Linked DNA regions of Caenorhabditis elegans. The protein of the gene in region 1 interacts with the protein of each later gene in a pairwise test. Each region holds a gene or a part of one and is shown on either strand. Other genes may lie near its edges. The genes, in order: ilcr-2 and ilcr-1.

Region 1 (15,776 bases):
CGGATCATATTTACCCATTCATTGGAACAGAACACTATTTCATTTTCTATCTTTTCTCCCGCTTTTATTTTCATTCTCATCGTTTCCATAAAGATTCCTTCAATGTTTATTATTAAAGAATCACGAGATTTTTTCTTTTTATTTTCTCATTTTGTTCTCACCAATATTTGCATTTTCTTATTTTGTATGTGCCTTTTTCTCAATACGAATTGGTTTTTTTTGCAAGATATATGCAACATGGAGCAATAAGATTCTCATGAGCTCCACTGAAATCGAGCTAATTTCGAAGAGCAACGACTAAGATGAAGTGGATAAGACTAAGAGAATAGAGATTTGTAGGCAAAAAATAAATTGCAGAACATATTCAATATTTTGGCGTTTGTAAACCATTTTTCAAAAATATTTTGGCATTTGAAATTTTTCTTACATACCGTACTGTCTCTTAGACTTGCACCTCTATCGCTTTAACTTGATAGCTCTCCGTTCTCTTCGATTTTATAAAATATTGTCAACTTACAAAGTATGTGCAAAATATTTTTCTACAAATTTTCAGTTACAATTTTCCTGATAAAACTTGAGAAAACCGAGATATAAACCGATAAAGTGAAGCAAGTCTGATAGGGAAATACGGCAATTTCCACTGGTAATTTTTGCAATTGTAAGAGTTCAAAAAAGGGTTTTCTAATTCCTATAATTACATTGAACTAATAAAATTGTAGGAATATCATATAAGTTTTTGGAAACCCCATACGGCGTGCAAGGGACGCCTCTTTCCCGCCTCATCACATTGTCAGTGACCTTCTATGTATATATTTTTGTGCCATTTTTCATAGTATCTTCATTTTTCAAATATAGAGGGCGTTTACCGGGCAAATGGCAAAAAATGGGCGTTTCTGGAATATCGGAAATAAATGGTATACTGTAGTTATAAGTATAAATATGTGTACAATCCAAGTCCTCCTTCTTCAACATTTTATTATTATAAAACCTTTTTTTGTTATTGAGATTTCCCCTATCAGACATTTTAATCTTTGAAATTTCGAGTTATTTATCCATTTTCTCACAATCACAAACTTTCACAACTTTTGATTCCTAAGTCTTATGACAAAAATCATTGGGGCGTGTCTAAAAGATTTTGAAAACTGGGCGTGGCTTTGGAGTCCAAAAAGATGGTGTTTTGGTGTCCCAATAAACCCCCGCAAAACTCAACAAGAACACTTTCCTTCTCATGACTTTTCCCTCTTTGTTTGCATTCTTCCATCATTTTTTTGAGTCTCATCATCATTTCAATTCAAAAGTGCTCAAAGTTCAGGTGCTCAGTGAAACTTTGCGGGGCTCACAGGTCTCCAATTCCAATTTCCGCATAAATTTCATGTCATTTTCATCGTCGTCGTCTTCATTCAGTTGTCACTCATATACATTTATTTATTCATTAATTCATTCCGTCATTCATTCGTGCATCTCCTTTTTTTATCATTTATTTTTCACTTGTTCCCCTCGTTTTCTACTGAACATTATTTCAGCTAAAATGGACTCACTGAAAGAAGCTGAAATTCGTGAAGTATTTCGAGAGTTTGATAAAAATGGAGATGGAAGAATTACAAGACAAGAGTTGGAGGTTTGTTGTTATAATTTGTGAATTTTCGGACAAATATAAGTTTTACAGGTTGCTCTTCTTCAATTGGGAGAAAAAGCGAGCAATTCGAAGATTGAGACAATGATTGAGCAAGCTGATTTAGATGGTACGATCAAACTTCTATTCATCCTATTTTCCGTATATACTGACCATATTCTTGAATACATTCTAGTTCTTGCCAACAAAAAGTGGTATTTTCTTAAAATCTAATTTGAAACAATTGAGATTTTTTGTAAATCAAATATAGCATTTTCGCAACAAAAAACTGGATTTCAAAATCAGGTCCTGGCACCAGCGAAGCTTCTGCTACCGTACTCGTGATCTCTTGTGTTGTAATTCCCTCTTGATATTTGACGATTTTTCTTTATAATTTCACAATTAACAAGAGTTGAAAATGAAACACATGTTGGGGAAAAATGTGAAATTGCAAAATATCTTAAAGTTGTGAGCCTAGCTTTTTCAGTTACCGTACTCGCGACATACTTTACTTCGCAATTTCTATTGAAGAATTTTTAATAATTTCTCAAAAAATATATGAGCTCACATCAAGGGCTTTAATGCAAAAAAGAGTCTTTGGCTACTGTAGCGAAATACAGTATTCTCTCTATTTCTAGTGTACTAACAAGATTTCCGCATGAATAAGCTTCCACACCACTATAACTTCAAAAATTTCAAACAGCTGGTACATTTTGTGTTCAAAAATAGAACTAACGCGTGTGATTTCCGGAAATTTCCAACTTTCCCGTATTTTTACCAGAAAAAAAAATGAAAAGTACTGAGTGCACGATAACAGGAAGCAGAATATGTAGGTGGAGATGATGATGAATTGAAGCGGAATGCAACTTTTTTACGCTTTAGAACTTTTTGACGGACGAAACCTAACGTGTCTATGGATAATTTAAACTCATGGTGTGTTTTGAGTATTGGGAAGAAAAAGTTGAATACTTTCAGGAAATGGATGTATTGATATAGATGAGTTTTTGAATGTACTCCGACGACAAATCTGTGATCCGAAAGAAGAACGAGAATTGAGAGATGTTTTTAATGTGAGCACATTGATTTTGCATCTAACTAATAAACCTGTTTTGTTTCAGGTGTTCGATAAAAATGGAGACGGCGTGATTTCCATCGATGATTTAATTTTTGTTATGTGCCAATTGGGAGAGAAGTTAACTGAAACTGAAGCGAAAGAAATGATAAAACAAGGAGATCTAGATCATGACGGAATGATCGATTTTCAAGGTTGGAATTGATTTAATCTATATTATCTATATTTTGTTGATATTACAGAGTTCGTCAATATCATTAAGGGCCAATAATCAAAAGAATCAAAAACTATCTCATCAATGCTTTTCCATTCCTTCGCACAGCTGATCTACATCTCATTTTTCTATCGTTTAATTTTTGTGTACATATTTATAATTATTGATTAAAAATTAAAACAACAACATTTTATTTAATACAATAACAAAAACAAGTAGTATACTTCGAACAATTGAAAGATCATCATGAAACTCAATAGACTAAACTCTACCGTTGGTTAATTTTTTACCGGTGTGATGTATGGTTGTAAAACTTGATTGAAACAATTGTATATTCTATTTTCTATTCTATTATATTAATGGCCAAATTCAACATCCAAATGTAGCCACGCGTGCCGTAAGATCCTTGATACTTGTTTGATGATATTTTGATAGATGAACGGCGAATCGATCTCGTGCGTGAAACTTTTGATTGCATGTATGACAGGAATATGGTTTGATACCTAAACATTAATTATTTTTTCAGATATTAAACTTTTAGATTGTAAGTATTTACCATCATGAACATTAAAGTGATCGTGAAGTGCCTGTTCTGTTCGAAAAGTTTTTCCACAAGTAGTCTCATCACCATCTTTTGACTTTCGATCGCATTTGTACTGTTCTTGGTGTTTTGGTCCCGTGGATTTAACTACTTTCTGCGAATTTTCCGAATGATATACTCTGACATGCTTTCGAAGATTGTCTCTTAATGTAAATGTTTTAAGGCATATTTCGCAGCTGAAGTCTCCATGTACTCGACTTCTACTGTGCTTTCTTATTTTATTCGGAGGTTCAGTTGTCCCGAATTCAATTTCCTCATCGATATCGTTTATATTTTCCGATAAATCATTAGTAACTTCAGACACAGAATCACGTTCAAATTGACTAGAAGTTCCTGTGATTGTTGATAGTGTGGTTTCAGTGTTAGCATCATTCCATTCATCATTTTGAAGTGCTGGTGTCGATTGTGAAGAAGATGGTATATTTTGAATCAAGGATGAACATGTCGATAGATGCTCGCTTACACTACCGGATCCCAAATAAACACCACATCCTAAAGTGCATAGAGCTGGCTCACGTTCTTCATGAATTCTGAAATAGGTAAAATTATTCAAAAAACCGTTTTCATTTAAAAAAAATAATTTATAATCGAATTTTTACAACCTACCTTTGAACATGATCCTCAAGATCTTTCTGTTGTTGTTCAGGATCATCATCTGAAACATCAGGTTTGTATTCACATAGAGGGCACTTGTTGAAAGATAGTTTAGATCGAGTTTGTTCGGTAGACAATGGAATAGACGTGTGATATTCTTTGATGTGAGCTCTGAAATTGTATTAAAATGTATTTTTTATTAATCGATGAAACCCACTTGAGCCGATTTTTTGCTACTTTGATACAACAGCCAGTAATTGTACACGGAATACCATCAACATGGTTTTGTTCGAAGTGACGGCGAATGAATGCTGGTTTCTGAAATTCCAATATCAGAAGATGAACAACTCGATAATTCACACCTCATTAGTGTACGAGCACTGTGGACACTTATGAGAAGCCTTCGAATGATGTAGTTTGTGATGTGCTCTCAATTCACCATATGTGCCAAATTTGGTAATTGTCGAGCATTCAAGGCATTGGTAACGATTAGCTGAAAAAATAATTATCTAAATTACTAAATAAGAATGCTGAAACATACAATCATGAATTTTTATATGTTCTCTCAGCTTGTTGGGATATCGAAACTTTTTCTCACAGAACGGACATCTGTAAAAATGTTCGCATTTCATTTATATAAAAATATTCCACATACGGATGGAACTCGTCTTTCGTTTTTCCTCTTTTTCGTTTTCTGCTCGCAATTTCTTCTTTTTCAACTTCTTCAACTTCTTCAATGCATACTTTCGAATTGCTTCTCTCACTGTTGCCATCTTCTTCTCGGTATTCATCATCAGAGTCTTCATCAGAAGACGATGACGATGAAGATGGTGGTTCAAACGAAGATATCATCTGAATTTTGGATTTTGGATAACAGTAAAAATAATTTTTCATAGATAGACTAGGTTATAAGACCTGTTTTAATTAGAGAAAAATAAAGAAAACAATTAAGGAAATGTTAAACATTTATAGATAGCGTAATTTTTAAATCCTAGAACAAATTATCAAATATATAAAAATCAAATAATGAGTGAAAAATGACATGGAAATTATAAATTCTGAACTATGAGAAGCCAGCGTGCCTCCGCTATGTTGGAGTTCTGGAAAACGTAGCTTCAGAACAATAAGACATCTCATTGAGGGACACGCTGACTAAATAAACATGAAAAAGCATCGCACAGAAAAATCGAAATAATATACCATAATTAACCACGTATCACACCGTAACAAGCAATAAGCAAATAAAAATAACAAGTCTCTTCATGACTTCTTCACAACAATCGTCTTCGGATCTTCACCCTCATTGTCGGATTCAGATTCGGATTCCGAACTGGAGTCAGATTCCGAGTCAGAATCAGAGTCAGGGCCGCACTGTTCAGGTGGTAGGAGAATGAGTGGCTGGTTCTGATGAGAAGCCTAAAAATTATATTTCTAGCTGAGAACATTTTGAATGAACATACGTGTGGCTGGAGATCAACATCATCTTCGTCATCACTGTCCACGAGTGCTTGCGGGGGCACCAGGTTATACTTTATAGAAGCAGCAATGCGATCCTCTTCAGTTTGGATTGGAACAATGACGGGAGACTGACGTTTGAGGTGAAGCGCTGCGAGCTCCTGAAAATGAAGTTTTATAAATTAATCATAAAATTAAAACCCTCACGTCTTTCGGTTTCCATCTCGTTTCGAGCCAATTCGGATTTCGAACGAAGAATGACATCATACGACTAGCACAAAGGTTCCACTCATGAATCTGAGCTTCTGATATGTTTTGAGTGACGTTGGCTCTTTCTGTGTGCTCTACATTGTGCAGGAATGCAGTGAGTTGCGCGAATTGTTCAGGTACTGTAATTTCAGAATTAGAAAGATTACATTTTAAATTTTAAAATAAACTAACAAATGAAGGTGGGAAGGTTAAGAATCGCTAAGTTTGGTGGAACATGTGGAGAATAGTTGAATCTGACAACGGCGTATTTCTTACGAGCTTCCGGAAAATTGTGTGTTGCGTCCTAAAATGTTTTTTCTTGATTTTAAGAAAATCCGAGTCAATTGCCTACACGAATGATCATTTCCATAGCTGGCCCGAACAAATCAGCAAATGGTCGAGCTTGAACAAGCTGATGAGTCTCAGAAGCTTCCGTGTCGAGAATCTTTTCAGCGCAATCAGAAACCACAATTATAAATTTCTTTAGAGAGCTGATTTGATCCACTAGCCAGCGGGATGGAACGATTTCTGAAATTAGTATGAAAAGTTGAAAAATACTATATATTTTTTAAAAACTTACGTTCTGCGGTTATAAGCTTCTCCAAATCAAAAACTGGATCACAGGATGCACAGTTTCTGAGATTTTCGACAAGTTTCTTCACACAGTCGGTATGCAAATCATTGTCATCCGCATAAACTATCATAACCTTCACAAATTCAGTCAATGCTATATTTCGAACTTCTCGAGATCGAACTTTGTCTCTCCATAGTACATAACCAAATCCAGTTACAGCCAGAACGATGATCAGTATCAAAAGTACAACGACAGCGATGAAAATCTCGAAACCATAATCTTTGAACTTTTGCAATGCGAGCCAAGACAGTGAAGCTCTATTTTTGTAGATAACCAGGTTCAGATGAGTACGAAGACATTGCCGACATCCTCGTTCTTTCTTCTCGCAATAAAATTTGCATCCACGAATAGGAACGTATGCCGTCAGAAGGTATCTCCCTGCTTTCTGATTTTCCCATTTAACGGCGGTTTCTGGGCACTTCACAGTCAAAATTTCCAGAAATGTCACTTTTTGAGAATCATCATCGTGTTCCTTGTAGACATTAACAACCATAGTTTCGCATTCTGCCCTCTCCGCTTTTCCCAATCTAACCCAAATCGCATTCTTATCACTGAAATCAGCAGACAGCATCGGTGCCCAGAACGGATCCGTTTTCGTTATAATTGACTGATTGGTAGTTGGATCCACAAGAATCTCTGGGAACATGTCATCGAAGTATGGAGCAGTCATAATCGTTGAGACTCTACATTTTTGCGGTAGAATAGTTGCATTGATTGCGTAGACAGAAAATGAAGTGAGTCGGAAACAGGAATACGAGAATCTGGTGGGATATTGAACTCTCGACGAAAGATGAATTCCGCGACACGGCCATTCTTTGACTCCGTTGATGTACTGAAAATTTGAATTTTTACTGTATTACCCAGACGCGAAGTTTAGCGTAAATAATACGTTACAGGGTCTTGACACGACAAATTTTCGTTGAATGCGAAAAGGTTTGCGTCATTAAAGAGTGATGTAAGTTTAAAGATTTTTCTTTTTTATAGAGAAACGTTTTTTAAAACTACAGTACTCTTTAAAGGCGCACACCTTTTCGTAATCAACAAACATTTATCGTGTCGAGACCTGGTACCGTATCCCCGGCGTATTAACGTTCAAAATTTCGCGTCTTTTAGTTGTTAAATCTAGTTACCATGGCTTTCGAATTGGAACAATATACATCTGAACCATCTGAAGCTGACAAGCATTCAAGACGGAATGCAATGGTATCGACGGAAGAATGAGCAGTGACGGAAATATTCAGGTTGGCATATGGATAACTGAAAAAATTAACTAATTAAATTAAAAAATTTCCACAGTTTCTGACTGATTTCCAACCTTATCTGGGACTTTGGTACGTAGACTGGTTTGAGTTCCAGATCAATAAGACCAGGAGGACATGTTGGCAGCTTTTCAGGAAGATCTGAAAATCGGAAAATTAATTATCTTTCTGGTTCGGGAAAAAATGTACCATTTTTCTTGAGCCGTTCTGAGCATTCCTTAGTCGTGGAGTACGTGATAAAAGGATCGGATTTCTTATCATCAGCTCTCACATAGACGAATGAATCTTTGTAGCATTGATCGGAATGCTCAAAAACATTCCGAAGGACGTAATCAGAAGCATTGGTGTATGATGCTGCTGCGGACGATTTGACAGAAGATAGTGAACAGAGATAGAAGTATAGGAGTAATAAGGGACTGCCCGTTGCGCGATAAGCAAGAAAATTGGTAGTGCAAAGGCGGACCATTTTATGTCATTAATTAAAGTGCGGTTTTGAAGAAAGAAAATGAAAACAAGCAACTTAACAACAAAAAAGATAGAAGAAAATATAAATTCTAAGAGATTCTAGAAAGAGAAAAGTGAGATTACTGTGGGTGAGATGTCGCAGCGGCACCAGTTGACGCCTGAAAATTGATGTAAAAAGATTTAGCTCGTTATTTGCGGTAAAAGAATATCTGATTGTAAACATGTGAAGAATTTGAACCTAATTTGTTGACTTTTCACCTCTTGAGGCGAGGCGACAAGGTGAAAACGATATGTTTGTACACGGGAAAACTTTTAGAAAATCTCTATTTTTTTTAATGTTGCTGCGGTAAAAATCAGAGATTATCGAAGAAAAATTAGTTTTAATTACCTGCTCTTGTGCGACTTTCTCAGCTTCCGCGGCTTCTGCAGCTACCTTCAGTTGTTGATCGGCAATCAACGCCCTGTTGTCCTTGGCTCGAATGAACGATTTCGGGTGAATTGGGAAGAGTCCCGACAGGCCTGAAATGAATAAAAAATTAATTTGATCATCAAAACTACGAAAACAGTTGATATTTTCAGTAGATCAAAAATTAATTCAAGAATTTTTCCCGCAATTTTTTTCCAAGTGTATTTTCCAAAAAATAATTATCACAGTTTCTCCGCTCACCGAGAAGTTCAAGCACTGGAACGGAAATATGAGCGTTCCGTTCACCAATCCAATATTTGAGGCGTCCAAAATTCAGAGCCACTAGCTTCTCGTTCTTCTGATTTGGAAGTGGATCAAAAGTTCCCACCTGTAAAAATTAATTTTATTATAAATCATTCAAGCAATTTTTTCATTCAAGCAATTCTCACCTGTTCAAGAATGTTACCCTCGTATCTTCGACCTAAAGCCCGATCAGGAAATACACAAACGTGATAGAACGGTCGGTTTGTGCAACCAAAAAGAGCCAAACCGATCGAAGGACGTCCGTAATATTTTGGAATTACTAATTTTCGCATTTCCAGCACCAAATTTCGCTCATAGAAGGAGCAATCTGCAAAAAACAGAATTGAGCTCGTACGAGAGGCAGAATGTACTACGATCGTTATGAACGGCTGCAAATTAAGAATAAAATTTTTTTTCGAATAGAATTATTTCAAAACTCAAAAAACTATTTACACAATGTTTATAAAAAGTTTAGAAATTGTGGAGAGAAAAACTTTTTTAAATGTCGTGAAGTGCAGTGTCAAGTACGCAATGTTGTCCGTCGGTGTTTGCGGACACAAGAGTAATTTCGCGCGAAATTTAATTTTGATTTCTTCTGGTGTATTTTTTGTACAATCCTTCATTTCCTCGTTTGATTTGCGTACGAAACAAGAAAAGTTGAAAATAATTGACAAATATTGCACTTAAAATTTATAGAAAAATGTAATATTTTTTTGTTTTTTGGTACATTAAAAGAGATAGTTATGATAAACAAAACTGATTTAATTTCCAAAATTAAGGAAATTTTATTTCAAATTTTTCCGACTGCGCCAACAAGAATTCGTAAAAATCTGCATGTCAAGTTTCTTGAAATCTAAACTGATCTTAATATTATTTAGGAAAATATAAAACATCATCAAAATTCATAATAAATTCATTTAGATATCATATATATTTACACATAATAATTCAAAAAGGCAACAATATGGCTTTCGAGCAAATATCTGAAAAAAAAATCATCTGAAGTCATTGAGAAGGATCCGAAAGTTGCATACTCGTTTCTGTGTGTCGGTGGTGTTGGTTGAGGCGGGGAGTGTAGAATAGACTATTGACTAGTATTAGAGATTGGGTAATAAATAGAATTCATGAGGAAACAAACGAAAAAAAACATAACTGAGTAAAACTTTGTAATGAGAGGGAAATATGGAAGAGAGCACAACATTGACCCGTTTTTTGTATGCTTGTTGAATTTTTTGTGCCCAGAAAACAGCTAAAACGGGGAAGGCAACAACTATATTATGTGACTAGAGAGATAAATGGAAAAATATAACAACAGCTACCTATATGTCTTAGAGATATAGTCAGCTAGGGCTCTGTAACAGAAAGAATACTGCTCAAAACGGGTAAACATCATCGGTCGGTGTGATTGAAGTCCTTTTACTGTTTGGAAGACGTCTATCCGTTGTTCAGCTTTTTGTCGGAGCCATAACAAGGAAATGCATATGAAGATTCCGCTCTCTGACGATCCGTTTCTGAAAATTTAAGATTTTATTTATGATGAGCACTTGCTGATTGTCCTACCTGCAATGTACCACAATCGGAGCCTGAGATCCCATGAGACTGCTCTGACGTTGCAGGACCATCTCAATCAGATTCATCAAACTGTTCGCAGATTTTGGAACAATTGAATCCGAAGGCCATCCAGTATACGAATACTGTACAACTTCTTGGTTCGCTGGCATCGATTCGTTATCTTTCATAGAATATGATAAATTTCGAATGATAAAATCTTGATGGTGCTCTTCAGAGACACAGGTAACATTCACTGAATTACGTTCCGATCCAAAGTGACATTCTGTTCCAGAACCATCGATTGGCCAGTACTGAAAATGAAAATAAAATTAATTAAAACTGCTTATTTGCTTACAAACCTTTTCAACATCACTCCAATCTGTCTCATCACTCAACATAACTACCGTAGTCACATTTTGATCAGCAATCATTCTCCAGAAATCAAAAGCTGTTCCTTCTGAAACAGGATCCTGAGCGGCTATATAATCAAAAAAGTATCCTTTTATGTGTGATGCATTGATATATGAAGAGTCAGCATGTCCAATAGTTGGAGGAAGAATAACTCGATATTTATCAAAAGGTACTGCAGCTTCATATCGATTTTTAAGAAGGTTCTCGTCTTTTGCAGCAAAGTTTGAAGATAAAGGAGTAGTCAAATTTCGCTCCAACTTTTTGAATTCTTCTTCCAATCCAGTTTCTCCATTGGAAGTTGTCATTGATTCTCGAGATGAGACAATTGCTACTCTCGGAGATATTGATCCATTCGTAGATGACTGTTGATTAAAGCTAACTGCTCTATCTCTATTCGATGCACATAATCGTTGATAGTGATCTTCAAAATCTCGAACATCTTCATCAGTATCACCATACATGTGCCATTCCGCAAGTGCTTTGTAGATGAACACATATTGTTCAAGAGATTGAACCATCAAGTTCCGTTGGCGACGAAGATTGCACACGAATTCGAAAATGTTTGCTTTATCCTCCGCGAGACATTGATCAAGCATCGAATCTATTGAAATAAATGTTCCAGTTCTTCCAACTCCAGCACTTAAATTAACTATTAATTGATGAATTTTGGAAAAATATAAATACCTGCAATGTATCACAACAGGCGAGTTATTAAACTGTGGTAATTCTCGAAGACGATACATGAATCGAAGCAATCCAGTGGAACATTCCGGAGCTTTGTAGTCATTCCAATTGGTAAAGTGATACTGGAGAATACGACGGGCTGAATAAAAAATTAATTAAAAATATGAAACGATCGTTAATTAACGAATCCGCCAGTAACTCACAATTATTAGCAAATTGTCCTTTTACAATTGGCACATTCGCGTATTCGACGCCGTTTCCATTCGGGATCACATCACTGAAATATGAAGAAGTTAGCATACAATAATAATTATTCCGATGAAAACTCACGGCCCACATTCTCCTATATGTGCGATATCGAATGCACGAATCGCATAATCAGAATGGAACGAAAAACTGGCAGGCTCCACGATTATATCTCCATATCTGTAATTTTATTATTTTTTTTCAGAATTCTTACTTCCAAATTTTACCTTGTAATCTGTTCATCAGGCCAATACTTTGCACATTGCTGCCGGTTTTTCTCGGTTAAATTGGCAACCATCACAATTAAATATGACTCTTGTTCCCACACCATTCTCCAGAAATCTCCGATAGTGGCGTCAACTGGAGCCTGAGCAGCAATGAATAACTTCTTTTCTTTCCAGCTTTTAATGAAATTAGCGTTTATATAATCCGAGTAATCGTCTCCGTTGATTTTCTTCAGCTTAACTCGAGTATCATCGAATGCACGAATGTCGTTATATCGGTTTTTGATTGCATTTTCTTTTCTATTACTGGCTACAGTATCCAATTGAAAATGTGGCAGAGATTCGTATTCTTGTGCAAACAGAAAATCCGTGTCTCGATGTCGAACAACGTATTCAGTTGGAAGATCATCAACTGGAATTGCACCAAATGTCTGTTTCAGAAGAGTTCGTTCCACAACATCTTTTGACGTCATTTTTGTGAATAATGGACACCAAGTTGACAGCATATGTCCTTTTCGGTTTACAAAGAACATTGTAACTCCAGTTGCAAATGCTAAGAACAGAAGGAACGGCAGAATAATTTTCATGAAAATTCCGAATCCACTGCTTGAACTTTCCGTGTCAAGTAGTATTGGCTTGAAGTATGCAGAATATCCATACGCTGGCCCACTCAAATGAAGTTGACGCAGGTGGCGGCTCATGGGAGATGCAGTACGGGTTCGTGATGTTGGAGATACGCTTTTGTCAATTCTGAAAATAAATTACTGTATGAACAAGAAAATATAAAACGCCAAAAACATGGGAAGCCGGTCTCGACACGAAAAATTTTTGTGAAATTCGAAAAAAAAGGTGTGCACCTTCAAATAGTACTGTAATTTCAAGCTTTCGTCGCGAAATTTTTATCGAAAAATTTTCGTGTTACAGTTTTTTAGGCGCAAAAATTAGGAATTTTTCCGCGTTTGGATAACATTTATGTATACTTACAAATTCCTAAATATATTCGGATCAGCTCCATTTCGAACATCTTTTCTGTTCAATTCTTCTTCCTTATCGACACGTACAATTAGAAATCCGGTGTACTTGAGCCCACGCCGTAATGCGAGATCTTCAGACGAATATCGACTGAGGTACTGTACATTACAGGCTTTTAAATCAGACACTCTAACACCATCTCCTATCGTTGTTTCTTCTGGTAATTGAACATACGACTCGGCAATGTAAGCGAAAAATCGTTTCTCTTCAGCCGACGATGGGAGTAGATTGTTCGTGAAGACTTTTGAAAATGAGTGCATAACTATTTCCTCAGATTTTGGCAAGATATCCAGAGAAACATTTGCAGGAAGTGGAACTATTGCAATATAGTAGCAGCTGAAATTATGACAAGTTCAATGTATTTTTTAATGTTTTTTTAAAAAAGAAAGATACCTTATTGGCCCATTAATATCATCTGGCGGTTGGGGAAAAGTCAACGAGAATGTCGAATGATTATTAGACAGCAAAGGTTGTGGTGTTTCTACCATATCTGGCTGTGCGTAATTCGTAACACAGTTCTTGTGGAAAACTGCTGGTAGAGATCTCCCAGCTGAATTTTCAGCCCAAACAGTGACGGTATAATTTCGATTTGGCTGAAAATATTATGTTATTATACTGAAACATCTCTAACAATCTCACTTTTAATGGACCAAATTTGCAAGAATAAAATTCATTTGCAAAATCAATTGGATTGATTCCATTATGCTTTGATGTATTCTCATCACCATCCCAATTCGCACAACGTTTATCAACTTCTACAGCTGCTGGAAGATCATCTGGAGTTAGGGATCCGTCGGATTTTCGCATTGCTCCACGAACAGATACAAAATATTTTGTAATTCGACCATTTGGCTCCGCGGGACTTTTCCATTCAACTTCACAACTCAATGCTGAACCAGAATTTAGCACCCGCACATCCTCCTCTTTCGGTGGGAATGGACCTGAATAAAAATGAAATTTTGATTTTGGAACCGGATCTCAAAACACTAACGTTTCTGTTTTGTAGTAAAGTGTTCAGTGAACTCAAATGGTACTTGTCCATTATTCCCCGACACAAAAAGTGTGTACGGAGTCGCGGCGCGAAGATCTTTTATAGAAACTGGAGACGTTAAGTTGTCCTTACTGAAAACCACTTGTCCTCGGGTATCCGTACGTCGAACAAGTCTGAAAATTGAAGAATTTATAAATTTGAAACTAAAAAGTGGATCAGATAAACAGGTATTGGGATAAGTGCGAAAAAAAAACTGAAAATCTGTGAGTTTAAAGAAAAGCATATTTTAATTAATGGTTAAAGCACAAAAAACTTAGGTGAACAAAGGAAAAAACTCAAAAAAGAAAACAACAAGATTCCACTCCATTCCCGTGAATTGATTCTTACTTATTTGATTTTGGATCATCTGAATCCACTTTCAGAAACCTTCGACCTCGATGATGTAGTGATTTTCTGTTATTAAAGTGAAAAAGGTACAAGGAGTTAAATTGATTATTAAATTTAATAAATGGGGAAAGTGATCATATTTATAATTTAGTAAAAGCATATTCGAAAGAAAAATCTGAAAATTACAGTACCTCAAATCAATTGCCATGTCTTCTCCACCTTCGGATTCCCATGTAACGATGGCATCTCGTTCAGATGGATTTACAGTTAGATTCTTGATTTGGCGAGGAGCTGAAAAAGAAAAGAATATTAAATTTTGAAATTTAAAAAAATTGGGAAAAGAATGGGGAAAGCGGCGTAGTTCAAGCGATTGGGAAATTGAAATATATTCATGCCGTTATTTAAATTTTCGACGCGAAATTTGCGATACTTCCGCTACAAATACGGTCCCTGGTCTCGACACGACAAATTTCTGATAAACCCAAAAAGATGCGCAAAAAGATAAAAATTTGAATTAAACCATAGAGTAATGTTTGAAACTACAGTATTATTTTTTTCCGTTTTCGAAATTATGCACACCTTTTCTCACTTTTTCTCACTTAACAAAGATTTGTCGTTTCGAGACCGAGCACAGTAATTTTCGAAAAAATCGCGTCTTGGTAATAAATCCTGCACAGCCACCAAAACATGCAATTCGAATAAAATATTTAAAAATAATCACGAATCACTCCAATTTCACACTATTTTCATGCTAAACTTACTAGAATCATCATCATCATCTGAAGTTTTCAGTGATGACGATGACGACGGAGGCATAACTTTTTTCGGACGTTTGTACCAATATGAATGGGTACGACGGGCGTGTTCTATACAATTTTAGCGATATATTTATATGATTTTTTCTATTTTTTTTTAAATAAAAATTTTCTAAAAATATTCTCACCTTTAACCTCAAACTGCATTGTATCCGTAACGTCAAGATCTGAAGCACTCGCAGTGACCCGACACATATAAGACCCAGAATCCGAAGTTTGAGCATTTTTAATTTCCAGCTCCCAACACGAATATTTTTCATGTACCCGTCGAGCAAGTCCATTTCTAGGTGCAAATGGGTGTGATGTTGCTTCTCTCATAATTGTTCCATTTTGAATGAAAAATACGCTGGCAACATCAATAAAGCCTTCCGGATCAACATTTATGCAGCAGAATAAGGTGACATCAATTCCCTTCGAAACTGACGTCGATGGGTGAGCACGGGCTACAACAGCGAGATCTCCTGGAAATTGAATTTTATTTAAAAAAAGTTTGTGTGAATTGGCCGAAAGGGTTCATGGGAAAAAAGGTTTCTATTCCTTATATCGAGACTTTAAAGATCAATTCTTCGAA
Region 2 (15,178 bases), on another chromosome or scaffold:
ACGTCTTCCAGAAGCTTAACGTCTTCAGAGTCCAGAACTTCCACTTCAAGATCTCTCTTTGCAGCAAACTTCTCCTTGAGTTCGTCAATCGGCAAAGTTTCCATTTGACCGAAGGCATCCTCATCTTCAACTTTTACTTCCAAACTTGGTGGCAATGGCACAATATTATGAGCTTCCAACTCACTAACTCTACGCGTGGCAACTCTATGATGAGTATTCTCAAACCATTGTGGATCACTTTCAATGTAATTCAATTTCCTTGAAATTGCTGCTTGTAACCGTGCAAATACTTGATTAAAACCAGCAAGTTGCTCGGGTCTTGCAGGTTGTTCAGTCAATGCAGTTGTCATTGTCATTAAACTATTTGGTATAGAGTACTGTAGGAGACGATTGATTGGGAAGAACACGTATTTCGGATTGGTGTAGCTGAAGTGGCAGGATATCACGCAAGGGTGTCTGGAAAGTTAATAGGATTATGTTTCAAGTAGGTTAGATTTATTGCAAGATATTGAGACAGCAATGAATACAATCAATGTTGACGATTACATTTTCGTTGAGTTTGAACTTTTCAATATTAGTTGTTTTAAAATCAATAATTCAAGATCCGATGATCATCTTGCTTGTGATACAGACAACACTTTAAGTTTTTTTTCAAGGAAATTTTATTATTCTTATGTTAATTTTAATAATTTACAACTCAGACGCTTTCCCTCGAAAATTTGCTCAATTTTTCATTTGAGCTACAAAAAATTTTGCTGTTTCAAAACATTTTTAAATTTTTTTTGGTTTGGAAAAACATATTCTAATTTTTCAAATATTTTTTTTCATGTCGTTCCCCCCGAACTCACTGTAACGCCAATTCACACTGCATATCGAAAATCACGTCGTTCCTTCCGGTTGTAATTCTTTCGATTGCAGGTTCTCTTTGATGACGGAAGACAGTTCGGAAGTAGGCACCAATTGAATTGATTATAATCACTTTATTCGCCCGGACTATACTTGAATTGATGTATTCCGCACGATTTTCCTCGATATCATCCTCATCCCAGACGTCTAACTGAAATAATGTTATTTTGGTTGAAGAAAAGAACAGTGAAAAAATTTAACTCAATTTGAGGATATGCAAATTATGAAACAGTAATTTTTGGGTGACACAATTTTTTGTAAAGTCCTGAAACATATGATTGTTACAATTCTATTGAGTAGGAATTTCGATGTGAATTGAGAATTGATTTTTTTCTGCTTAATAAGAAAATTTAACGGACTGCTAATGTGTTTAATGTTTGTTTAAAAAAAAAAAGAATTACCGAAGTTTGATTTGATTTGATTTGATTTATTTTCAACATTAAGAGCCCACAGTTAAAATGCGATGCGCGCATAGTGGATGAAGAGCCATAATGCGCCCATCGCATGCGGCGACCACCCATTTCGAGCCCATCGCTTGCGGAAGGTGATGGGCGCACAGTGGGCCCAAGATGTGTTCATTTGCGTTCCAAAAATTCAAAATTCGAAGTGTTTTTTCGCCTATTTTTTCGCATTTAATTTCATTTTTTATTGAATTTTTGATTTTTTTTACTGATTGTCTCATGAAAATTTGTTCTATATGCCTTATATTATCTTAATATTGATTTTTTTTTTGAAATTACCATGTCTATAGAAAAAACTTACTCTAATCAGTTTTAGCATTGAAATATTCAACGAAAACGCATGTTAAGCAATATTTTGTTACTGGTACACAAAAAAATCGTCAGGATTACTGTAGTTTTATCATTTAGCCTGATATTTGATCATTCTCAGAACAAATCGTTCAATATCTTGGTAGTTCCAATGTTTTTAGCTCGTGATTTGTCATTTAGATTTTTTAATCAACATTTCTTTGACCGCTCTCACCGTTATATTTTGGTAATTTTGTTCAACAAAATTCGTTATCCATTGTACAGAAGTGCCGAAAATCGTCTTAAACTTCTGGAGAAGAAATTGCTCCACGAAAAATAGCCAAAGCAGTGCGAGAAAATGGAACGCCCAATACACTGAAAGCGGTTGATTCTACGAAAAATCATAATTCTTCAGTTGCTTTTTTGGGAAAAAGTTGGTGTATAAACATAATCATAAATCCATTATCGAATTTTCAGTGGTGACAAGCCGAAAGAAACACCGAAGTTCAGTGGGTTCGCGGATCTCGCACAGAAAGCCATGGAGAATCAGAATCAGGCATAACGAGAAGTTGGCGAGGATGATGAACGAAAATTAGAACCTCAAAAGATGGAGACTGACGAAGATCAAGAGCTGGATGCAGTGCTCAGCAGCAAGTTAGTTTCGAAGCATAGTTTTAATGGACCATGTTCATTTTTCAGTATAAGTGTTCTAATTCCAAGGAAAAGAATACACGAAGCTTGGAGTTGGAATACTACACGTTAAAAACACTGATAGAAAATTCAGCGATGAAGGCAATAGCTGTAGACGCAAAGGGGGAACGGATCCGGCTGACTTGTCCAACTTCGAGAACCGAAATGGCTACGATGATGATTCGATAATTTTGTTATTGTTATTACGAGTTCCATTTTTTGTTACTAACGTTTTCTTTTTGTTGTTTTGAAAAAATGTTAACTCACTTTGCTCTGTTAATGAATGTATTTTGGTTCAACTAATTCGCTTGAATGCTCAGAATTTGCAGGGTTTAGTAGTTTTATTATCAGAAAGGAGAATCCACAATGTGCCCATTATTTATGTTCGTGATGCTCGCAAAATGTAATTCAAATTCGCGATGGACGCACAATGCGCATCATTTCCGGTTCCTTTTTCTCCCACTCGCGATCCACGCCAAAAACACTTTGCGCGCATAGCATTTTAACTGTGCCAAAAGGTAATACATTAAAAGGTAGTACACTTTAAGGTTTAATGAGAAAATAAATTTATAAAACGAGACAAACCCAGCAAGAGTTCATCTCGAGTGTGGGAAATGGGTAAGGCAAGAATTAGTAAGTTGATGGAAGCTTCGTTTTCAGAGTTATGTACTTTTATGAACTGTTCAAAACAGGAGATACAATTTTTTTGAAAATCTCATCATTGTAGATTTTTAAACTTTTAAATTAAAATATACTCAAAAATAAACTCACGTGAACATTCAAGTTGAAAACATCTCTCAAAAGCTCTGCAAACGCCAAAACTGCAGCTTCATGTTGAGCAGAGTCATGACTATATACGATCAGAACTGATATGGATTCTGAAATTTTTGCCACCTTACAGAAAAGTTCAATCGACTACTTTTGAGTGAATTTTTAGTCCTGTATTAACACAGTGTTGAAACATTACTAATGCAAAAAAAAAGAATTTAAGAGAATTCGTTTTTGAGCAGAGTGACGTCATGCTTATTTTCTCCTAGCGTCTCACAATAAAACTTTCCCCGCTTTTTCTTGAGATCAGAAAAAATTAAGTCAAAATTAGCTAGATCAAAACAGTGGATCAAAACAGATCCTAACAAATAAAATTTGAAGTTTTAAGACTTATTAGGATAGACAATCAAGCAGAATGATGATTTACAAAGCGATTTTGTTTTATAAACATTATGAAACAGTGATAATATGACTTACGCTTCAAAATCAAAGGAATTGATCCGGAATGTGAAAATGCGGGATTCTCATTGAGTAAGTGAATATTCGATGCTTTTTTCTTGTTGTTAAACTTTTTGTAGCATTTTAAGCCAGCACAAACTGAGAGAATGAACAGAATTGCAATGATGGCGCCGCCGGTGATTGCGTAGGTGTGCCTGAAATTTGTCAGGTTTTCTTGGTTGGATTTTTCGACTGCATATAAAAAAGCAGCCGACATTTCCCTGTATCTCCTACTCACCAAGTCCATGTAGTATCTTCCTTCTTATCCTTCTCTGCTTTTCCATCACTTTCCTCTGTTTGATTAGAAGTAGCTGGAGGCTTTTCAATTCCTGAAAATAATAATTTTGCTTCTCATTTCATTTTCTGTTTTAAAAAGTGACTCACTTGTTAATTTGACTGGTTTCCAATCAGCTGCCAAACAGCTGCAACCATTCTCAGTGACACATAGGCATCTTCCGTCGTGAGCACTTTCAATTGGTATCACTGATGGAATTAAATCCGTGTCGAGCTCAATGTCGGTGAAGTTGAATTCTCCAAATTGGACCGGTCGACCATTGATTATTTCAGTTCTGAGCTCGTCTTTTGTGATTATGGCTGACTGGAGCATCACAATTCCAGAGCTATCGAGAAGGCGCACCTGAAGAAAATTTACTGTTTCGCAGAAACTGTATAGCTAGGGAAGCTGCTACGGCTGCATTCGTTTTGTCCAATTGTCTTTTTCAAAAAAGAAAGTACCGAGAGAATTTGAAAAATCAAAAATTGTGTTCACAATGACAGGACGTTTGAAATTTTCTAGACAAGCTTGAAAATGAATTTTCTGCTGTTTCACATTGTTTTTAAATTTGTGCTGTATAATGTTCCACAATTAGTGCATTACCTCATATTCCTCAAAACAATATTGCGGTGGCGCCGCCAAAAACTCGATTTGAATCAGCCTAATCGCACTGAAAAGGAAGATTTTCCGGAAGCTGGCTGCCCATTTTGAAGCTTGTGGATTCGCTGAAGCATAAATATCCATATTCTCACATAATTCAATCAAGAATATATCTCTTACATTTCCCCTCACACATTTGTTCGTTGGTCTTGACAATTTTCACCGGCGCCGCATCCGGATCATCAGGCATTAAGCTCGTGGCTGACACCTTCGGAGCACGTTTCCGAGACATTGGGAGACTCACAATGGTTACTGTGTAGTTGTGACCAAAGTCGAACAACGTGTTTGAAGAGAAACGGTAACGAGGCTAAAAAATGTTTCTATGAGTTGTTAAGATTTATGGAAATTTTGAAGGTGTTAGTGGAATTTTCTTGAGAAAGATCGATTTTGTAATTGAATTGTGAATTTGAACCTGAGAATTTTGAAATTATCCCAATTCCTAAATCAGTTATTCCTGGAAGCTTTTTTTGCGGCTAGATAAAAAAATTTCCGAGACTCAAAATTTTCACTGTTTCAGAAACTGAAGATATTGTAGAGTCATTATATATGAGATTGCTATGATTTTCTTGTCTTTTGTGAAACTTATAAATAGAAACTTATAATAAACATAGATTCTATTTCGAGGACTAAACTGTTGAAAAACAAGGCCTGCGGTTTTATAAGAAGCAACCTAGTTTGAAAATTATGGCACTGGCAGAACATGTTATGTCTGAACTTTAACAAAAAGTTGAAAGATCTCAAAAAAGAAGGATAATATTTTATGAATTGCATTCTTTTGTGAACCGTTTTCTTGAAAAAGCTGTGAAACAGTGAACAAGAAAATGAAGTAGCTTAACGCTTATTTGTGAAAATTCACTAAAATTTCACATAATAAATTCGTGAAGAAGGAAGCTTGGTCGTATGGCTTTTTTGAAAGTTCCAGTAAAAATTATATTTAATTTTTTTGGCAGTAGATATGAGGCATACCTACGCCTATATGTAATCCCTATTCTCATTTGGAATATTTGTATACGTTTTCTGCTTCAAGAGTTCCTAGAGGTCATTTCAATTCAATATTCCTACTCTATATTAAACTTTAATATTCAATTAGTCTTCCTTCTCCCCCAACAACACGATCAACTCACCGAAATACCCTCATCATCAACATGCGTTTGCGTGACATTAAACACGAAACAAGTATTCTTTCCATCAGGACCATTGACAATCAATTTGAATGCCTTCAAATGTGTCGATGCTTCTAATTGAGGTATCTGCCATGACACGTCGACATGCAACCGATGTTTCCTCTTGTCAATTCGGTTTGCGCCCATCACTTTTGTCGTCGGCGCGATTCTGACGTCATGGGCTCGAGGCGGCTCCTGACCGGCGTCTACGTATTTGAACACGTTGTCCGAGCAACCGACTGAAAGATTTTTGAGATTATAGTGAGTTTACGGTGCTGTTTTTTAGTTGAAATTATGAGGAGAATATTGATTCAAAAACCTTGATTCAATATATCATAATTGTGAAACAGATTTTGTTTTTTTGAAATTGGGTTGAAGATTTCAGAAAATAAGAAAACATCTCGAAATAGTTGAAAATAAAATATAAGTTTTAAAAACAGTATTATTCTGAAAAAGACCTCGAAATCCCAAATTTCATAATGAGACACTTTGAAAACTTGACAAATATATTTAGTTTTGAAAAACTATTGTATACTGTTTCAGGTGTTTTTCTAATACAATTCAGTAATTCAGTTTCAGTTTTATTGCCAAAATTCCTGTATCTGGTATCAATATACACTGTCATACTGTTTATTTGCACTTGACGTCTGATGGAAAACCACTGTAAAAGTTTGGCAGGAGAAGTACCTCAGCTAACATCACACATTTCCTGATTTTTTCTGTCTATTTCACCAAAAATAATTTTTTTTGCCGAAAATTATATCAATGGTCAGTGGCAAACGGAAATTACTTTTTTGCAAAACGACGGAAACTAATACGACTGAACTTTTGAATTTCAAAAAAAAGGAGAATGATTTCGAGTTTCCGTTGGCGCCCGACAATTGGCGAGTTTAGCTGAAGAGTGGTCAAAATAATAGGAAAGAAGTAGTAAGGTGTCGAGCAGTAAAATAGGTAAGTTTTGAGAAAATTCTTGGAATTTTAAAAGTACTGTTTCATGTAGGTGTTAAAGTTTGTACAAGAAGTTAGTTTTCTGTTAAGCCTTACATATTGACTGAGCAGTAAAATACATGAAAATTTAAATATTAAAAATAAACGAGATTATTTCAATTTCGCCAAGTCACCCTGTTTCAATTTCATTCAGTATTAGAACCGTGAGACCAATCAGCAATTTGCTCCGCCCTCTTTTCAACCAATCAGAAGCAAAGCTCGAAAAAGCTAATTGGTTGGAAAGTGGGTGTGGCAAGTTGTGTTGGAGGATGTTCAAACATAAATATTTATCAAAAAAACTGCGCTTTTAGTATAATTTCCATGATAGGCATGCGCGGTTTCCGGAATTGACGTTTCCGCACCTATGAAGGCCTACTTTTCACAAGTTGGATTTTGAAATCTTTATAGAATTTTCTGTGATATTTGAGAATTTCAGAATATTTTGCTTACAATTAGATCAAAGAATTCAACTAAAACTCACTAATATTAACAGAGCATGAAATGTCCTTGTTCAGTGGCTCGGAGCAATCCGTAACCCATGGCGAATCATCGACTGTCCCATTTCCACCTTTTTTCACTTTCACCACATTCTTTTTTCCCTGTTTGGTGACCGGTTTAGGCGCCCGCGTCGGCGTTTCTTCGGAAGCTAAGAGCAACAAATCTGATGATGTGACGTCATTAGCAGTGGGAGAAGATGAAGAAGAAGTCGAATTGTACGGCTCGGTGCGTACCGCTTGTGGACCAGCCAAGCAGAACAGAAAGAGCCAGATGAGAAGAGCAGGCGAATGAAGAAACATGTTATGAAGTGGAGGACATCGTCGTTTTTTGGTGATGCAGCTGCAGTTGTGTGATGGAGCAGAGAGGAGGAGGTTGGGAGGAGGAGAAGATTTCAGTAGTCCTTTAATTGTGATTGGTGGTTTCTGAAAGTAAGAAAAATGCATTAAAATTATGGGGTTGGGATGGAGAAAATTGGAGAAAAAGAAAGAGAGAGAGAAATGTTTGTACAGGTTGAGCACAGAAAATATGCTCAAAATTTTGGAGAAACAAGGAGTATGATAGTATAACTTTCAGATAAAATTAAGACATAATCATATGAAAATATTGATTCAATTCAAAATTTGTATTCATTTTTGTTTAAAAGTTTTGAAAAAACCTTTCAAAAAGTGCCTGAAAAAAAGACAACTTTTCAGGCAGTTTACTAGATTATTTTCAAATAAAAAAATAAAAAAAAACATTTTCTCATTCTGAAGCTAGTATTTCAATATTTTAAATCCCTAATCCATACTCCTAACTAGACTCAAAATGTCCACAAATCATCCTCCTTCCCTAAACAGGAAACGTCCTACACAAACATACACACACCGCAAAAACTTCAATTAATAAGTAGACCAGGAAGATTGCACATTTTGCACTCAATGGCACCGCAAGGAACCAGAGTGCTCATTAGTTTCCAGTTTCCACTAGACTCCAATGCACAATCACCAATGGGGAATTATCCCGGAGATCTTGGAAAACGAGGAAGTGTGGTGGACTACTGTCAAATTATGGAAGATTTTAGTTATAGAACGAAATTGAAAGAGTATTGAAATAAAAACATTTTGGAAATGAATCTAAATCGAAGGTTCTACTACAGAGCAGCCGACACCAAGCGGGTTCAGCGGTGTGCTTTGCTTGGCAGTTTAGACAATTGCCAGCACATGTAAATTGTCGGTCGCAAGATGATCATGTCAGATCGACTCTCTGACATAGAAGCTAAAAGGGCACTGATTCTCAACTATCACAAATAATAGCAGACATGCATTTCAATCACTAAGTTATGTTACCGAATTGAAACAGTATCGAAATGAAAAACTCTGAAGAACGAATTGAAGAAGAACTGCCCAGACTTTTTCAGGGAATTTCTACATTCGAACTGTATCAAGTAAATCCGAAGCACCCGACACCACTTGGGTTCCGTTTCGCTAATGAGCGCGGTTTTCATGAATCCGCGTGTTGTCGGGCGCAAACTGATTGTGTCACATCATTCATCAGTCAGAAATCTGATTTGGCCGTATTTTCAGACATTTCAATAACTTAGTTTTAAAACCTAAGTGAAATAGTATTGCAATACAAAAAACCAATTGATGAGAAATAGAACAGAAAACTTACAAACACTAGAAGATTAGAAATACCCGACACCTCGCGGGTTCCGCTGACCCTTTGTGTCCAGTTTTGGTAATTTGACAAAACCCGCGTGGTGTCGGAAGCAACTATTTTGTCAAACACCACACATTGAGCTAAATTCGGTGAAAGCCCTACTTTGGCGGCTTGATAACCAAATGACGTTGCAGATTTCACAGAAAATATCTGACGTATTTTACTTCCGCCTTGGTTTTTTTCATAGAACTGACTCAGATTAGTAACATTTCTTGCAAAAAGATAAAGGTAGATCAGAATGTCGATTCAAAGTCCAGGAGGAAAATTTTGAATTAAAATCTCATGTGCATACATTTCGCAAATGGGAAAAAAGATTAACGAGTTCATTCAAAGATCAGGCGAATGGAAGTATCTTCTCCACGTATGCATACACACATGAGCAAGAGAAAACGAGAGCTACAACTAGTTTCTAGGCTTTATAAGATCAGGAATGCATAATCAGAGAGTGCTGAAGTTGTAGTTTATGATTATTTGAGAAGTTTTGAAATTGTTAGTTGAAGTGTGCGAAACAGGAAAACAATATTAAATTTGGTATTTATACTTTTCATGTTTTTCTGAAAAAGTGATCCATATTGCTGAAGTTAATGCAAAACGGCTATCAGTTAGGAAAAGTAGAAAATCCCAGAATTTAATAAAATAATTACTTTCAAATGTCTTTTGCTTTTTGGAATGTTGAATTAATTTTAATGAACGCTAAGCGGACATTGATTGAAGTTTCAAAGCTATTCGAATACTTATAGAGTTCGTAAAAAATATTTTTAAATAGGAATTTTGGAAAAAAATTGAATTCGAAATAGAGATGTGTATTATGCAAAAAAAAATGACAGTACTGTAAAAAAGAGTGAACAGGCATTAATAATTATGTTGAAACAGGAAATTTTAGAATACTAAATAATTTAATAGTTTTAATCTTCAAAACATTGCGAAACAGCATCGCATTTTTTTCAAACATTTGAAACGATCCTAAAAGGGCTAATTGTCATTTGAAAGCTTCGTCGTCTATCAGGATAGATTCAAAATCACATTTCAATTTTATTTGAAACAGTAAAATTATAAATTTTTTGAACAACTCACAGCACATTTGTAAACACAACCAACTGTAATTTGAAAACTGCCTAGTACTTATAAAGTTTGAAAAACATTTTTTATCGAAATTTTTTATTTATTTTCCGCTTCGAAGTATGATACCCAGATTTCCAAAAACAAGAAAGCGAACTGTAATAAAAAATGGGAAAGAAACGTTTGCAATGTTGAAACAGGAATTACCAGAATTTGAAAATTATTTGAAACAGCATTGTATTTTTATTAATGACAATGTTAATATTCAGAAAATCCGGCTCTTCTTCCTGATTGGCATAAACATTTTTTTGTTGTTGAAAACCTGTGTTTGGAACTGTTTTTTTTAGTTCTGACACATTTCAACGTTTCAACTGTTTCACAATGTCTACAAGTACTGTGCTTGAAACATACATATTATTTCAACGGCTGTACAAAAAGAAAATACAAAAAAATCCAATTGAAATCTCCTAATACGGCAAAGAATAAGGGAGCGAAAGACTTTGAGAGTCTGGACTTTCAAAAATGTTGGGCCAACAAAAAAATCTTCCACTATCAGGCCAGATTCAAAATCACAAAATCACACACAAAATCACATTTCAATTATATTTGAAATAGTAGAATTACAAATTTTTTTGAACAGCCCTCATTCAATGTGAAAGTTCCCCACACTGTATTTTGAAAGGCACCTAGCTAGTACTTGTAAATTTGTAAAACATTTTTTTTTAATCGCAGCTGTTTTCAAATTTTCCACTTCGAAATAAGACAAAAAGATTTCCAAAAACAAGAAAACCAACTGTAATAAAACAAATGAATGTTGAAACAGGAAATCTCGGAATATGTAACTTATTTGAAACATCATCGTATTTTTCTAAATGGCAGAATGTTGATATTCAAAAAATCCGGCTCTTAATCCAAATTGATTTTTTTTTAAATTCTGCTGAAATACTGTGTTTGGAACAGTTTTTTTTAGTTCTGACATATTTCATGTTTTCAACTGTTTTACAATGTCTACAAGTACTGTGCTTGAAGTAAACATAATATTTCAACGGCTGCCCCATAAGAAAATACAAATTCAAAATCGAACTGAAACCTCCTAAAACGGCAAAGCAAAAAAGGAGAGAAGGACTTTGGAAGTCTGGACTTTCAAAAATGTTGTCGAACAATATAACTTTTTGAACTTTGAAAAAGAGTGAGAGAGCCCACCACCACCATCTATGTTTTCACATTGGCACGTGTATGTGGCTCTTTGGCTCCTTATTCAGCTTCTTCTCTCTCCTTTTTTTCTTAAACCAAAGAAGGGAGAGAAAAGGAATTCGAGAGGAGGCGGGAGGAGGAGAGCCCCCAAGAAAATGCTGTGAGCAAAAAAGGAGCAAAAAAGAAGGAGCAGAAGAAGGAGAAAAAGGAGAAGAAGAAGAAGAAGTTTTGATGTGTGTCCACTCTCTCCCTCTTTGAGAGCACATGAAATCAAGGGGAAAACTACTAGAAAACGAGCAGCACTCAAGTGAAAACGAGAGAGTGAAAGAGAGAAAGACGTGCTCGACAAATGGAAGGCCAATGCACAAAATAATGCGAAAAAGTATCGAGGATGTAGTACATCATATACCCCTGCATATTAACACATTGAGTGAGGGAGATAGAGAGACACTCGCAATGGGAAAACGAAGCGATTTGCAGAGCATTTTGGGTTGCAACTGTTTTTCTTCATTTCATTTTAAATTTTTAGCTATAATGAACAACGGAATACGTTGATGTGGTGACTGTGAAAATAAAACATATCTGAAACAGTGTAATTTTTTGATGCAACTTAAGAATCTGAATGCTTTCTTAATTTTATCAATGTTTTAAGAAAACGTTATGAAACGGTTAAGAATTTTTTCTGAGCTTTATTTCATTTCTTTATTCATTTATTTTGAACATCAAATCTGGATCAATAATTTCATCGGCGGACTACAAAAATAATATTTATCTGAAACAGTATAAAATTGTTTCAAATAAAATGTAAAATTGAAAGATACTGAGAACTTAACGAATGTGCAACAGACATACATTAATTAATGGGGAGCTGGACAAAAACAAATTTAATTAACAACATTCTAACAAGCATTGTAAGAAAACGTTATGAAACGGTTAAGTGCTATTTTTCACTTAAAGACTGGTGAGACTGGGCAGAATTCATTAATTGCCAATTTCAGTTCAATTTTGAAATATTCATAATTCCGATCTCCCACACAACCAAAAATCGAAAAAGTACAGAACTTTGAACGAAATTCCGAATGAAAGCAAATGAATGAAAAAGAGATCCAACTCTGAGTTATCCAAAATTTTTAAAACAGTAATATGTTTTTACATTGGAAGTTGAAACAGTTCAACATAATTAAACATCATAAAAACCACTTTAACATAGTGTAGATTTTCCAAAATTTCCGGTAAAAGTTTTTGCGAATTTAATTTTTCAAATTTAGACTTTCTAAATTATGACATATAAAATCTGAGTGCCACCTTTTGACTGTCACTGAAAAAAAAATCCAAAGAATGTTTTGAAAAGTTGTACAGTGCGGTTATTTTAGAAACAGAGATGTAAGTTTATTTTAATTCCCTACTGGAAATACATCATCTTTGAATTTTTTTTGCAGACCGAATTTTACATTGTTTCATTTTGTACGAAGAAGGTGAAAGCAGTGAAAAAAGTCAAAAACTATGTATTTTGAAAAGTTTTTGAAACATAAATATTTTTTGAGTGAATTATGCTAATTTTCATTGAGTATTTTAGGAAAAAAATTTGAAACGGTTTTTACCTTTTTATAACTAAAACGTTGAAACGTGAAAGTGAACACATAAAAAATTTTAAATTATAAGAAATTTCTGAAACAGAACATTTTCCAAAAGTAAAATCATGCTAAACTACCATACAGAAACTTGTTTTAAATACAATTTTCATCAGTATCATACCATATCAAAAACTTAACTGGAAAACCGTGAAAAAAGAGAAAAATCATAGTTCTTCAGCGTTTCAAAAGAAGTTTTCACCAGCAAAAAAAAAATCAAAAGATCAAAATTTTAAAAGTATAATTCTAAACATTTCAATTTTAAGCACATCTACAAATTTCTAAGCCTGACTTTTTTTCAAACTTTCAAACTCCAAAAATCTGCGCAATTTGCAACTTTGAACTCAGCTACATCAAAAAAAAGGAACACTTGTCAGAAAGTGTCAACCAGTTTGGAAACATGTTCAGAGTAGAAAATTTATGCATGAATATTCACACTAGAAAAACGGCTGCCAACACGTCAAAAATCGGCGAACGGAATGGGAAAATAATCATAAAAAAGGGGAGAAAAAGCATGATATTTGATTTGTAGTGTGTTTGTGTTTTGATGGTTGGGAACGGGGAGTTCTATTGAAATTGAGAAATGGGAAAAGTATTGGGGAAAAATGGAAAAGAAGATAAAAATACAAAACATAAAATCTTCAATTATTTATTGAAGTTTAGAAACAGATGTTTATTTAAATGTAAAGTAAGTTTTTTTTAACCAATTGTAGGCACTATCGAAAATGTTGGAAAGTGGAAATTTTTAAAAACTTCTCTTATCTCGAAAAATCAAGTTTATATATCCTGAAAAGTTTTGAGTTTTTATGGATCTACGTATTCAAATTATGCCTGAGAAACATTTCAAAACAGAGAACACTGTCTGTCTCTATACATTGACTTTATTTAGTCTTTCAAAAAACAATTCAAAGTAAAAAATTCAAAATGAATAAGATATGTTCTACCTTTAGCTTTTAAATACAATTATTAAAAAATAACATTAAAGAGCTAAAATTGAAATTAAAAGTGGAGTCAATATTCGATAAAAATTTGAAACAGTAAAAAAAATTTCTGAGCAAATGTTCAAATTGACTAGGAAATTTGTGTTTTTTTTGACAGATTAGATAATTTTTTCGAGCTAAAATTGTTTTCTCAATTGAAAATATATCAAGCACCGGGAATTTTCGATAAAAATCAATCGCGTGTATCAATAAATAGCAATAGAAAGTATTGTTTTACAGACTTTATGAAACTGAACAAGAATCCTTTTTTTTGGATGGTTGAGTGAAATTCCACAAAAACTTGAATTTTGAGGACTTTAATTTCGAGTGAATTTGCAATAAAACAAATAATTTTTAGACAAGTAAATTGAGATTAAGCGTGATAAAAAACATATGTCAAAGTTCTTTTGAAAAGGAGAAAATGAAAAGTACTGGGGAGTGTGTGGAAGATGTGGAAGAAAATATATAATACAAAAGATAAGAGAAATTGAGAAACAATTTTTTTTTAATAAATAAATAATAATTATTATTGTTGGAGCAATTTTATTTTAGTAAGTTTGTTTTCCTAAAACTGTGAACTGAGCCAATCATTCTCAAAAAGTATTCAACGATAAATATCTGCTACGGAACGATTGGAAAGAAATAAGGTAAAACTTTTAAAAACTCAATGAAACATATCTTTTAAAAGTTTCCAGACAAATTTCAAATTTCCAGTTTCTGATAAGCATATTGAGAGTTTTTGTACGAGAAAGAGAAACTTTCAAAACTGGAGTGATTATCTCTAACAATTAGATCATTTCAAAAAAGTTGAAAAACAGTCAAAAATTGAAATAAAGCGATTGTCAAACAATTAAAAAAATTTTAAATGTTTGAATCATCGTGAAATATGATAAAACTCGAAGATCTAAAGTTGATTTTACACAGTTTTGTAAAAATTTGGAAAAACTTCAAGCTGAAATAATTCTGCTCCATAAATCAAAATGCGATCTGCAAAGTTTAAATGACAGAAATTGATTAATGGAATAAATTAAAAAAATTGAGATTTTAAATTTCTATGAAATTTCAAACTACGTTGAAACAGAAAATGTTTCATATTTTTTTGAACTTTTGAAAGTCACTTTCATTTTTGATTGTTCAAAACTCGATATTGAATCAAACTTGCTAGAAGTGTGATGACATCAAAAAAATGGATCCTTAAACGTACCGGAAACATGATGACTACTTTCCAAGAACCCACCACCATCAGACACAAACACGCAATGTTTATTAGCTTGAATTATAGAGAAAGTTTAGATGACCTATATATGTGTATTGGTCAAAAGGAAAAAGATGCAAAAAACGAAAGAAAACTCTACGACATTGTAATCTATGATTCCTTATAGATTTCGTGCATTTTATTGGATCAAAAAACATTTGGAACGTG

What was found.
Region 2: the proteins of ilcr-2 (region 1) and ilcr-1 interact in binary tests that used the Caenorhabditis elegans proteins (3 or more experiments, as listed by UniProt).

Annotation. Positions count from the first base shown.
Region 1 is NC_003280.10:5,467,789-5,483,564, reverse strand, and holds ilcr-2 (Interleukin cytokine receptor-related protein 2), read right to left. Parts: upstream 8,320-15,776; 5' UTR 8,314-8,319; coding exon of another isoform or gene 8,275-8,313; 5' UTR 8,157-8,274; coding exon 7,880-8,156; intron 7,832-7,879; coding exon 7,747-7,831; intron 7,689-7,746; coding exon 7,562-7,688; intron 7,264-7,561; coding exon 6,378-7,263; intron 6,326-6,377; coding exon 6,150-6,325; intron 6,102-6,149; coding exon 5,990-6,101; intron 5,938-5,989; coding exon 5,756-5,937; intron 5,710-5,755; coding exon 5,554-5,709; intron 5,510-5,553; coding exon 5,354-5,509; 3' UTR 5,039-5,353; downstream 1-5,038. Other genes in the region: cal-8 (EF-hand domain-containing protein), read left to right, coding at 1,529-1,618, 1,667-1,742, 2,588-2,682, 2,731-2,878, 2,927-2,955; Putative zinc finger protein F56D1.1, read right to left, coding at 3,268-3,401, 3,455-4,029, 4,106-4,264, 4,311-4,411, 4,456-4,586, 4,635-4,702, 4,749-4,945; mrps-16 (Small ribosomal subunit protein bS16m), read right to left, coding at 8,275-8,313, 8,544-8,674, 8,823-8,949, 9,011-9,157; clr-1 (Receptor-type tyrosine-protein phosphatase), read right to left, coding at 10,180-10,375, 10,425-10,726, 10,775-11,465, 11,511-11,649, 11,714-11,787, 11,841-11,936, 11,984-12,730, 12,965-13,348 and 6 more.
Region 2 is NC_003282.8:14,268,903-14,284,080, reverse strand, and holds the start of ilcr-1 (Interleukin cytokine receptor-related protein 1), read right to left. Parts: upstream 7,622-15,178; 5' UTR 7,493-7,621; coding exon 7,177-7,492; intron 6,770-7,176; exon of another isoform or gene 6,694-6,769; intron 6,315-6,693; exon of another isoform or gene 6,288-6,314; intron 6,012-6,287; exon of another isoform or gene 5,991-6,011; intron 5,948-5,990; coding exon 5,670-5,947; intron 5,311-5,669; exon of another isoform or gene 5,290-5,310; intron 5,123-5,289; exon of another isoform or gene 5,099-5,122; intron 4,928-5,098; exon of another isoform or gene 4,903-4,927; intron 4,853-4,902; coding exon 4,666-4,852; intron 4,611-4,665; coding exon 4,489-4,610; exon of another isoform or gene 4,477-4,488; intron 4,330-4,476; exon of another isoform or gene 4,309-4,329; intron 4,249-4,308; coding exon 3,996-4,248; intron 3,941-3,995; coding exon 3,850-3,940; intron 3,767-3,849; coding exon 3,591-3,766; intron 3,529-3,590; exon of another isoform or gene 3,508-3,528; intron 3,264-3,507; exon of another isoform or gene 3,240-3,263; intron 3,224-3,239; coding exon 3,117-3,223; intron 2,993-3,116; exon of another isoform or gene 2,972-2,992; intron 2,535-2,971; coding exon of another isoform or gene 1,926-2,534; and 12 more. UniProt on the Caenorhabditis elegans protein: Forms a receptor complex together with receptor ilcr-2, which upon activation acts as a modulator of neuronal activity.